3 linked regions of the Diceros bicornis minor genome follow. The protein of the gene in region 1 interacts with the protein of each later gene in a biochemical or structural test. Links are inferred from orthologs where the notes say so. Each region holds a gene or a part of one and is shown in the gene's direction. Other genes may lie near its edges. The genes, in order: UBE2N, tripartite motif-containing protein 5-like and HLTF.

Region 1 (3,748 bases):
TGTATTCTCATCCCCTAATACAGCATCTGGCACATCTTCATTCACCATCTACTGTCTGTGCTACTGTGTTTGGAAACACTGTGCTTAAGTAGTTAAGGGGTCCATGTTTTGGGAGACCTGCCCGAGGACAAAACAGCTCCACCTCCTGCATAACCTTGAAACAAGTTAGCGTCTCTGAGCCTCATTTGTAAAGGCGGAGGCAACACCTTCTTAAGATTGCTGTGAAGATGAAGTAAAATAGTAACTGCAGTGAGCCCATCACACAGCAAGCAATCAATCACCAGGATGTCACGAAATGCTTCCCCAAATCCTATTTTCGGGCATCCCCACTCTAATCTTCCTTTAGGGCCCCGCGCTCTGTGGGTTATCCCTCTTTCCCGGATTACTCTGGGCTCTCCAATCCTCTCCTTGGTCATTCCTCCAGCTAAGGACTCTGCCGTTTCAACCACTGAGTCCAGAAGCCATTCTTCTTCCCCGCCCCCAACTCTCCAAGCTCTTTTCTTTTAGCCTTTCCCGGGCCTAAGGGGTGTGTCAGAGGCTTGATTTTTCCGAAATTTGAAGATCAAAACTCTCTGGCTAGGGTTTTCCCTGGCTAACTTTCGAGACCCACAGGAGCTTTGCTACCGAGTTTCGGTCTTCTCCTCTCTTTGAGTCAGGAGCCAGCGGATCAACTTGACCGCAGTCGTTCCCTGCAGCACCAGCTCCGACCGCGCGCAATGCAGGAACGTTGAATGAATGAACGATCGCACTAACGAAGGAATGGGCTACGTCGGCGGCCGGGCCTCTGTTACGTCGCCCACCGGCGCGGGCGTGGCCGTGGATAAGAAGTCTGAGGGGCGCCGGCAGCCCAGTCCCACCATCGCGCGGCCCGCTCGGCCAAGACCGGCGGAGCCCCGCGCCACCTCCCCCAAGTCCCTGCCCCGCCGCGGCGCGTCACTTCCGCCCCCTCGGGCCGGGGCTGGGGCGGGGAGCGCGGGGGAGGGGGCCAGGTCCGAGGGAAGCCCGCCCGAGCCGGGACTACATTTCCCGAGGGGCCTGGGCGGCGGCGGCGGCGGCGGCGGGCGCGGCAACGTCCCCCGGAAGTGGAGCCCGGGACTTCCACTCGTGCGTGAGGCGAGCGGAGCGGAGACAAGACCAGAGGCCGAACTCGGGATCTGACAAGATGGCCGGGCTGCCCCGCAGGATCATCAAGGTAACCGCCCAGGCCGGCCTCCGGCTGCCCGCTCTGCTCGTGCGCTCTCGGCAGACCGGGCGGCGCAGCCCCTCGCTGCCTGCGGCCCGCGGCCCGCGCTGGGAGGCCCGAGGCAGCGCGGAGAGGGTCTGGCCGCGGCGGCGAGGGAAGTCGGGCGCTGGGGAGGGGGCGCCGGGGAGACTTCCGGCCGCGGTGGGGCAGCCCGGCGGCGGGGACCCGGGGCTTCCAGGCGGCTGCCCCGCGAGCAGGGAAGGCCTGGCCTGCGCTCTGGCGGAGGGTGGGGCCGGGGTTGCGGGGCTCCGGTCTTGGGCGCGGGCCGGCGCGGGCCTCGGCGGCCTCTCAGACCACCCCCGGGCGGAGGCCGCGGGCGCGCGGGAATCGTGGCGGGGCCCCGACTCGGGGTGGGGGTTGTGGCCCGGCACGGCCCCTCGGCCCCGGAGCCCCCTCTCGGCCCGAGCGGGAGCGCGGGGATGCGGCAGCCCCGCGTTCAGAATGAATGAACCGGGCGAGTGAGGCCGGGCGGGGCCCTGTGCCCCGGGAGGCGGCTCCGGGAGGGCCGCGCGTCCTGCCGCCGTCGACACATGCGGGTCCGGGGATGTGGGGGCTCCGCGCCCCGCTGCCCTCGCTTCCGCGAGCTCGTTTCCTTAGATACGTTTCCGCTCGTTATCTCCGCGAAGTGATTTTACTCTGGTTGGTAGACTGGTTCAGAGCTCCTGTTCAGAGCAAATAGTTTAACACAAGACCGGGGGTGGGGGTGAGGGCGCAGGTATGGGAGACCCTGTGAAATCTTTTGCCTCTCGATTTTGTGCGCTTTAACCATTACATATAGAATCATGAAAAATGTGACATCTTTATTTTGTGAATTCTTTACATAATATCGAGTCCTCCGATGTGAAATGTTTCTTGCAATACTCAAAAACAAAGCTTTGAAGTTTTTTGTCAATTTTAGTGAAGGAAATCAGTTGAACTCTGTGTCCCTCAATATGCGAGTTCAAGTGACTAAATTGCAGCATCATTTTGCTGGATATAATGTGTTGAGCGTATATTTAATCTAGTTTGTTCTTCTAAAGTTTGGGGGGAGGTGCATACTCAGTGAAAACCTGTTGAAGGCTGATGTATTGTGTATTGTTTCGTGCAGTTGTAGGTAAATATGTGTGAGATGGAGGTGTCTCTGCCTTAAGGTGCTTGATTTAGAGAAATAAGACCATTTGTAAGATGGATATTCTTAGAAATTAGAGAAGTAGAACAGATTGTCATTGGGTGCTGGAGTCTAATGTGGTTCTTCATAGTGCCAAATTTGTTATATTAGTGGATTTATCTCGGACTCTGGCCAAGGCAGTTTAATTGCTGTATGCATTGGAAGATCCTTAAAATGTGGTTTTAGTTATAATGCAGTTACGTGGCCCTAATGGTCATGTTTATCGAGGCCCCAGTTGAAACTGAGGGGTGGAGGATAGAGCTGTATGCCAGATATTCTCTTAATTTTTATTGACTTCTAGTCAGGTGATTGACTAAGTACATAACACAAATTGACATTCAAGATAATTCTCCAAAATACATAATGAACTAAAGATTTAAGATGAATTTTTCCATTTTTGCTTGATTTTGGAGATATTCTGCAGTAATATGAAAGCCTTGAATAGAAAAATAAATTCTGTGGGATCTTGTTTTTATAAACTTACAGAAATTAAGGCAATAAGTTGTTCTTATAATTCAGTTCATTTGGCACACAATAGTTTAGTTTACACTAGGCATTTGCATCTTACTATTTAAACCAAGACAGTGATAACTCATATATAATCTTAATTTTACAGTATTTTGTTGATAGCATCTCTCTAATGAAAGATGCCTTGATTTGGGTTTTATCTTGTAAAAGTTAGGTGGTTTTACTGTAATACCATTTATAGAACTGTTTTCTCCAATCCCTAGGAAGGATTAAAAGATTATACTGTTTTTTCTAGTGCCCCTGTTATATTATGTAGGTTTTTCCATAATCAGTGAAAATGTTTATTTTTTGTGTCAGAATTTTTAAAAAAAGGTTGGGTCTTCTCTGTCAACCACTATTACAGGGTCCTATGTGGAATATAGTTGTGGTGGTGGTGGTATGGTAGCTCTACTGTCCAGAATGATAGGAATACACCATACCATCAATGGACAACTATTAACATGATGCTGGCCACCTCAAAATGGTTACTATTTACATTTGCAGAGTTCTTGAGCCACTTGATACCTGCAGTAATCTTGTGAAGTAGACAATACATTTACAGTCTGGAAACACATTCAAACAACTTTCCTAGGGTCTTGAAGCTGGCAAGAGGCAGAACTTGGATGTTAACTCAGAGTGACCTTCTCCTGCCTCTTGTTATTATGAAATGACATAATGTATGTAAAAGTACCTTGACAATTGTAAATGACTATTCAAATATAAGGTGATTTTTTTGAATTCACCCCGTTGCTGTCCCACTCAGATTTTTATTTCCAGTCCAGTAGCAAATTCTCTAGGCTCTACTTTCGAAGTATATGCTGAATCTGACACATTTCCCTCTCTCTCTGAAA
Region 2 (3,748 bases), on another chromosome or scaffold:
CACTGCACCCCAGACTGACTCACTCAGATGGCAGATCCCAGTCAAAGCTCTATCATTTTTCCCCCTGACTTCCTCTTATATGACCAGATCTTACTGGCATAAGGTTGACTTTGAGCATTACCACTCCTATAACATCCTCCTTGTACCCTTAACTCCCCCAAGTCTTTTTTAGGCATACATCTTTTGAAATAGTGCAGTTCGTCTGTGTCATTATCATTACCACTATCAGAGTTCATCTGTGCCACTTAACACAGGGTTTTAGAATTGTTTCATTACTATATTAATCAGGATTCTTGAGAGAAACAGAACCAATATGATATATATATATGTATAGGCTCAAGTGACTATGGAGGCTGAGAACTTCCAGGATCTGCCATCTGCAAGCTGGAGACCCAGAAGAGCAAATGGTTTAATCAGTGGGGACTGTAATCAGTAGGGACTGATATGAAGGCTTGAGAACCAGGGCATCCAATGATGCTAGTCCTAGTCCAAGAGCAGGAGAAGACCTATGCCTCAGCTCAAAGAGGCAAGCAGGAAGCAAAAGGGGCAGATTCACTCTTCCTCCCCCTTTTTTTTTATCCAGGCCCACAAGGGGTTGGAGGATGACCACCCACATTGGGGAGAACAATATAGTTTACTGAGTACACAGATTTAAATGCTAACCTGGAAATAACACCCTCTTAGACACATCCAGAGGTAATGTTTGATCTGGGCACCTTCTGAACACTCAAGTTGTCATGTAAAATTCGTCATCACAATTATTTTCCTGCATTATTTTTATTATGCTAACATATAGACATTATATTTTAAATAGTATTAGATTACATTACCCAACAAATGACACTTCATACAGTTTCATCTTCCCAGTCTATTTAGGAAAAGTCTCATTTTGGCCATACTGAATCCAGATTCTAAAAGTCAGTATCACTGTGTTTCCACTGGGATAGCCTGTCTGAGTGACCACCTGAGATAATTTCAGATTTGGATAGCCATTCCCTCTCACATGACCTGATAGGTCCAATAGCTGGTGGATGCAGGACAGGAGAGTATGCAGGTATGGCTGTTTCAGGTGAGCTTTCAGATGGGTTCTCACTGATGTAAGGGGGTTACTTCATTCTCTCCTTGTGACAACTCATTTGCAAGTAAACAAGACAAGGTGGATGTGTGTATAATTCCATTGCCTAGGTAAGCCTTGTGCTCCAAAAGATGAATTACCTTAAAAGCCATGAAACAGCTTCCAGGACCAGAACTGACGTACGGATAAAAATGTAGTCACTGGCCCATCTGGCCCAGGCACAAAAGTCTTGTCATTTCCCAGGGGCTTGAGGTAGAAGCCTCCCATTGGTCCATAGATTCTCTTCTTCTTTTCTGCCGTCCCCCAAGAATTTAACTTTCATTTTCACTTGGCTCCTCTCCATCTTCTTCGTGCAGCTCAGGCCCCTGGTTTGGTAAGTAAATCCTGACCACCTCTGTACCTGGCCTGGCTTCCTCTTCTGAAAAGTGGCACAACTACTACATTGCTGTCTGAAGGTCAGTTGAGTAGTTTGTAGATGGTAGGGATTGGGAGACTTCAGAGGAAAAAATTGAATTTGCTTGAGTGAGTTTAATTTGTCTTCAGGAAGCTGTTCTGAAGGCGGAAAAAGGCCCAATTTGCAGGCTTCCCACTGAGAGTGCTGACTGAAGTGCAGTCTGGGGGAGGGCTGGTCTCTAAAGAAGAGAGAGTTGATGAAGTAAAAGGCTTTATTTGTTTCATGGAGGGACAATTGTTTCTCCAATCTGAATTTACCCACATCTACAGAGTCTATAATTTTGAATTGTACCTTGTTGAACAGGCAGACTCCTAGAGTTTTCAGAGGTAGAAAGTCCCTTTCCCCAACAACAGGAGCAAAGGCAAAGGGATCTTTAAATCGTAATAGTTTAATGCCTTAAGTGTAACAATCTACTATTTCTGTATGACTCTGTAGATAAATTCTCATCCCTTGGCCTGTCTGTGCTCAGGAGACTTGATGGGGTGACAGCTGCCAAGCTCTGCAGCCTGTATTTCACTTGTCCAGACACAGGAAATTGCTACAATTCCTTAAAATCACTAACCTTGCTCATCCATCACCTTGGGCTGTATCTGCCACCCAGAAACAGAGCTCAGCTTGAGAGATCAGGAGCAAGAGGAACATGTAGGAAGAATTTGCAAATGTGCTATCTTTGCTCACTTCGATAAACAAAATGAGTTACTTGATTATTGTTAATGATATAAAAAGATGTCACAAAAAGTAGCATGATAACAGGATCCTGAGAAACAGGAAGGAAGGAAGTAAAAGTGAGTCTCTGTGCTTACTGCCCCTTCCTAAAGAACGTACAGCTGCACTCACCTTGCTCAGGCATGTGGAAGACACCAGTCAAATCTCTTTTCTCACCCTGACTTCCCCTCACGTGAAATACTCGTACTTTATCAGAGTTGGCTTTGGAGACTGTCACCTCTGCTACATATTCTTGTCTTCCTCTCAGGCATAAGTCAGTGTTAGGCACCTGTCTTCTGAACTCATACAGTACACCTCTGTCATGCCAGTTATTGCAGGGATTTAGAATTGATTTGTTACTTTTATGCTTCAGTTTTTATTTTGGTAGTATTATAAAGAGTTTATATTAAATAGTATTAGATGGTTACCTGCAATAAAAACATAGCCGAATTTCTTTTTTCCATTCTATTTAGGAAAAGTGACTCTTTCCCATATAACATTGGTAAATTAGGGCTTCATCATGTTTAGAGAAATAGTTTTATTCCAATCACAAAAGAAGAAAGTTATGCTATATCCTTATCGTTAGACCGTTTACATAGCTATTGTCTTTTAATGTGTTTTTTGCTTGTCTTTAGCTGTCACCTCTGGGATGTTTCGGATTTTTATTCTCATGAGCTCAGATGTCAGAAGACAAATGTGTAAGGTGCAATCACCTGACACCTATGGCAGCCAACTGACCTGGGAGTTCTATCAGACTCACAGCTCATGTTCCCATATCTATCTCCCTCATTGCTGTGGAGCCCTTGGGTCACTGCTTAGGTAGAGGTGAGATCATCCTCCATGGGCGAGGATTCTAGCTCCTCTGTATATTGCCATTCTGTGTCGATTGTGGCAGCAGGTGCTTTGACATTAGCTCCTTGTAGCCCCACTGTGAAAATAAATTCCATAACACCTTGGCATAAACCATGCTCTGCTCCTCCCTCCTCTATGGGTTCTTGAGGCATCTCAGCTTTGGTTGGATCTTGAATGGGATGAGAAATAATTGGAGGCCCCACGCCCATGTTTGGATAGCTTGAGTCAGAAACATGGGTAGACGTTATCATATAATGTCTACATTTGGTATAATATCCACCTTTGATCTTGCTATTCATAATGGCCTGATCTGGGCCATAGTCTCTGCGGCCAGATGCCAACTGCATATGACCTCTGGGCTTTTTTTAGTATCTGTACTATTAGCTGGATTATACTTTCGGTTCACCTTCAGCCTTGTTATTTATCAGGTTTCCTTCAGGTATGATGAGCATGACACAAGTAGACACTTTTAGTGGGTCTAAATTTTTCTCCATGCAGTCTTTATAGCTTTTCCCTCCCTTTTTCTGGACAAAGGGAAAACTTACTGGTTGTCTCATAGTGACCCTTCTCTTATCATCAAACTTTAGCAACTGTCAAGACATTAATAACTACTGAGACCCTCTCTTTCTTTGTTTATTGCTGCATAGCTCCATTTGCCTGGA
Region 3 (3,748 bases), on another chromosome or scaffold:
CTGTCTTCACCTTCGTCACCACCTCCTTCTGTCTAGTGCAATGAAGTAACAAATTGCTGCGGATTCGATTTCGCATCCCGCTGCGGGTCCACGCGTACAGATCACGGCAGCTGAAGAGGAGGAACAGACGCCTCTCGAAACCCTGTTGCACTGCGCACCTCGCACTGCCGCCGGGAGTGGAAATGGGCCGCTCCGCCCCGGGCACGTGTCAGCGTCGCTCACAGCCACGGCCGCCCTTGCTCTGGGACGCGCCCGTCTCCGGGGACCGCTCCGCGTGCTCCCCGGCGCCGCCGCCGCGCCGGGCACGGCCGCTCAGTCGGCAGCCGCCCCTTCCCGGCTCCCGGGCCGCACGGACGGCCGTGGCCGACCGACGCCAGCCGAGCGCTGCTCCCCTCCTCAGACCCTCAGAGGCCGGCCGCGGAGGCCTGGGCGCCCGGGCGGCCCCTGAGGGCAGCACGTGCCGGGGCAGCGCTCCCCAGCAGCGTTAGTGCGCTGGCGTCGCAGTTTGCGGCTTCGCTAGAAATGAAAAATTTCCTTGAAAAAAAGAGGGCGGGGGGACTCCATAAATCTGAACGCCAAGGAAGCTCCTCTGAACTCGGTGTGTCTCGTGGATTCGCTGGCGAAAATGAGTATTTTGACGCCAGCTGCCCGGGTTCACCACAGGAAATGAAGGTGGTAGCTGCGGGCTCGCAAGCCAGCGGAAGACCCTATCACATGTCACATCAGATGAGGAGAAAATTAGAGGCGAGCTGAGGTAGGGCTGAAGAACGAGGCTGAGGCTTGGGGCTCGGCGGAAGCAGCCGACAGGAGAGTCGTCTCCCTCTGTTTGAGGCAGGGACTCGCACAGAACACGCAGACCCGCGGGCGCAGCGGTCGCACTCCCGCACTCCCGCGCCTTTCCCGCGCGCCCATCTTGGGGGCGGGGAAGAACCCGGATGGAACCGCCGGTGCAGCCGGGACCCCCCACGGTCTTTGAATCTGTGCGCGGGGCGTAGTTGCCCTCCGTTCCGTGCTCTGATTGGTTCGTCTCCGTAGGTTCCCTTCTCGCGATTGGACGTCCCCCGTGCCAGTCACAAAGCGCCGCTGGGCTCCCAGATTGTTGCTGGAAGGAGACGGCGTCGACGTCTGACTGGGCTCGCGGCGTCTCGCCTCCCGCTAGCTCGTCCATCCTCCGGCGCCCCAAACCGGTCCTCGGCTTCTCGCCCGCTAGGCCCGGAAGGAGGCGTGTCGAGGCGGCTCGAGAACGATCGCGGGCGCCCCGGCGTTGCCCTCGTCACCCACGCAGCGCCATGTCCTCCTGGATGTTCAAGAGGTGAAGGGGGCGGGGTGGGGCGCCGAGGGTAACGGCCCGGCGGCGTCCCCACATGAACCTGACCTTCCCCGCGTTCGCTCCGCGGCCCGGTGCTGCTGGGGCTCGCAGCCGCGGGAGCGAGAGCAGCCGAGTGTGGGCTGGCGAGGGGAGGCTCCTCGGCGGCCGGTGCGGGGCCGTGGGGAGGTCAGTCAGGGGCGGGGCCTGGGCCCCTCAGCCGCGTCTCCACCTGCGCCTTATGCGACGAGCGGCCGGCGGATGCCCGTGCGCTGGGCGCTGGCCCGGTAGAGGGCCGGGGGCGGGCCCCTTCCCCGCTGGCGGCCGGTCGTGCGCGCGCTCGGACGTGCGGGGGGGTGTTTGCGGAGGAGTCGGAGAGGGGCGCGCGACGGGGCGGAACAGCTTCTCTCGGTTCCGAGGCGGCGGAAGCGACCCCGGACTCTTCGGGGTCCAGGTTGGCTCGCCTGCCCGTTCCTGAGACCGTTGTCCGCAGCGGGATTGCGGTTCCCCTTAAACGGGCGCGGGTGGGGGGCTTGGGGCCGACTTCGCTCGGTGCGGTGGTGGGATGCGTGAGTGGAACGACCGTGCTGCTCGGAGGGAATCGCCGCCGTGGGTGCTGGCTGTGTCGTCAGCAGGGACGGGCTCGGCTGCAGGTGTGAAAGTGGTCCTGCATTTGCAAGTCTCTTCTCGCGCAGCCCCTCATGACGTTTTGGCGTGTAACTGAAGTTGCAGACGTCGCGTACGTCTCAGCTTCGGTAGACGATCGTCGCTAGGAGAGAGACTTGGGAACCCTTGCTGGGGTTCTCGTTTTGAATCCCCGTGGGTGGAGAGGCGTCGCTGAACGGGTGGGGCTACTGGAAACCCTCCGCTCGCTCCAGTTCCCGCTTTCACCGGGATAACTCGCTGTAAGTCTCGATGCAGCGGTTCCCACGTAAGGTGTAATTTGTTGACATAAAGTGTGGTAAGATAATTGGCCGATAAATATGGTATGGTCTTTGAGAAAAATTTGGTTAAATATTGTGTTATTTTAGTGTGTCCTTTTTTTTTTTTTTTTTGACAGAGATCCTGTTTGGAAGTACTTGCAGACTGTCCAATATGGAGTCCCCGGAAATTTTCCACGCCTGTCATATCCAACTTTCTTTCCCCGTTTTGAATTCCAAGATATTATTCCTCCAGATGACTTCCTGACTAGTGATGAAGAGCTCGATTCAGTTTTATTTGGAACTCTGCGAGGTCATGTAGTTGGACTACGCTATTACACAGGAGTAGTGAGTATGACATTAGATGTTAAGTTAAAATGTGATGTGTTTATGATATTAGCCTAGAAAATAAGAATTAGAAGATGACATGTGCAGTTAATATTTATTTTACTTTAAGTAATTGAGATACATCTGGGCAAGAGGAAACAGACACCTAATGATTGATATTCTTTTATGTTTACATCATGCTTACAATATGCAAAGCACTTTTTCCTGTATGGTCTCATTAGATCACTGCAGTGACTCTGAGGTAGATTAGGACGTCTTCTATCCCCCTCCTGTACCTGAAGAACTAAAGCTCAGGCGGGTTAAATAATTTGCCCAGAAAGCACAGAGACTGGTACATTTGCAAAATAACTTCCAAGTCAGTCTGTTGCTTTCTCCTCTTCTACCCCTCAGCACATTTCTACACTTTAGTATTTTTAATTTAGGAGGTCAACTCCTATTAGATAAGAGAATTGTCTATTTTTAGGTCCTTTTTTCTTTCTGTAGTAAGACTACCTGTCTTGCAGTTTTTCTTCCTATCTTTCTCTATGTATATTCTCTGCGGTGTGTGTGTGTGCATGAGAGAGACCTAGAGACTGAGAGACCTGATCAATAGTTGTCTTTGTATAGTTGTCTAGTATGCCTCTGTGTATCTGGATCATATACCTCTAGTTTTATTTTTTTAATTTATTATGAAAAATTTCAAACATACATGAGTAGAATAATACAGTAAACTCCCATATACCTATGATCCAGATTCAGCAGTTAAGTTTTTGTGCGTTTGCTTCATCACTTTTTCTTTTGTTCTAAAAATCCTGACCGTATCACTCTATACCCATGTAATTCAGTTTGTATCTCTAAAAAATTTCAAACATTTTTACGTGTAATTTTCATACTAAAAATTAGTAATAATTCCTTGTTACATCTAATAGCTAATCCATAATCAGTTTTCTTGATTGTTTAAAAATATCTTTTTATAGTTCATTTTTTTTCGAATCAGGATCAAAAGAGAGTTCATGTATTACCTTTAGTTGTTACATCCCACAAGTCACCCGCTCCCCTGCTTGTTTCATGTCATTGATTTGTTGCAGAAACTACATCTGTTGTTTGATGGGAAGTTCTGGATTTGTCAGTTCTTCCATTCCCCCATATTATTCTCATGTTGAAGCTTTCTCAAATCATGTTTTGGTTGTCTGAA

What was found.
Region 2: the proteins of UBE2N (region 1) and tripartite motif-containing protein 5-like form a complex in vitro, tested with the Homo sapiens proteins (2 studies listed by BioGRID, with this or other methods). The link is inferred for Diceros bicornis minor from reciprocal best matches to the Homo sapiens genes UBE2N and TRIM5.
Region 3: the proteins of UBE2N (region 1) and HLTF form a complex in vitro, tested with the Homo sapiens proteins (2 studies listed by BioGRID, with this or other methods). The link is inferred for Diceros bicornis minor from reciprocal best matches to the Homo sapiens genes UBE2N and HLTF.

Annotation. Positions count from the first base shown.
Region 1 is NC_080764.1:28,473,825-28,477,572, forward strand, and holds the start of UBE2N (ubiquitin-conjugating enzyme E2 N), read left to right. Parts: upstream 1-759; 5' UTR 760-1,162; coding exon 1,163-1,192; intron 1,193-3,748. UniProt on the Homo sapiens protein: The UBE2V1-UBE2N and UBE2V2-UBE2N heterodimers catalyze the synthesis of non-canonical 'Lys-63'-linked polyubiquitin chains. This type of polyubiquitination does not lead to protein degradation by the proteasome.
Region 2 is NC_080746.1:62,437,019-62,440,766, forward strand, and holds the start of tripartite motif-containing protein 5-like, read left to right. Parts: upstream 1-1,196; 5' UTR 1,197-1,448; intron 1,449-3,748.
Region 3 is NC_080741.1:5,870,247-5,873,994, forward strand, and holds the start of HLTF (helicase-like transcription factor), read left to right. Parts: upstream 1-1,251; 5' UTR 1,252-1,289; coding exon 1,290-1,312; intron 1,313-2,366; coding exon 2,367-2,574; intron 2,575-3,748. UniProt on the Homo sapiens protein: Has both helicase and E3 ubiquitin ligase activities. Possesses intrinsic ATP-dependent nucleosome-remodeling activity; This activity may be required for transcriptional activation or repression of specific target promoters.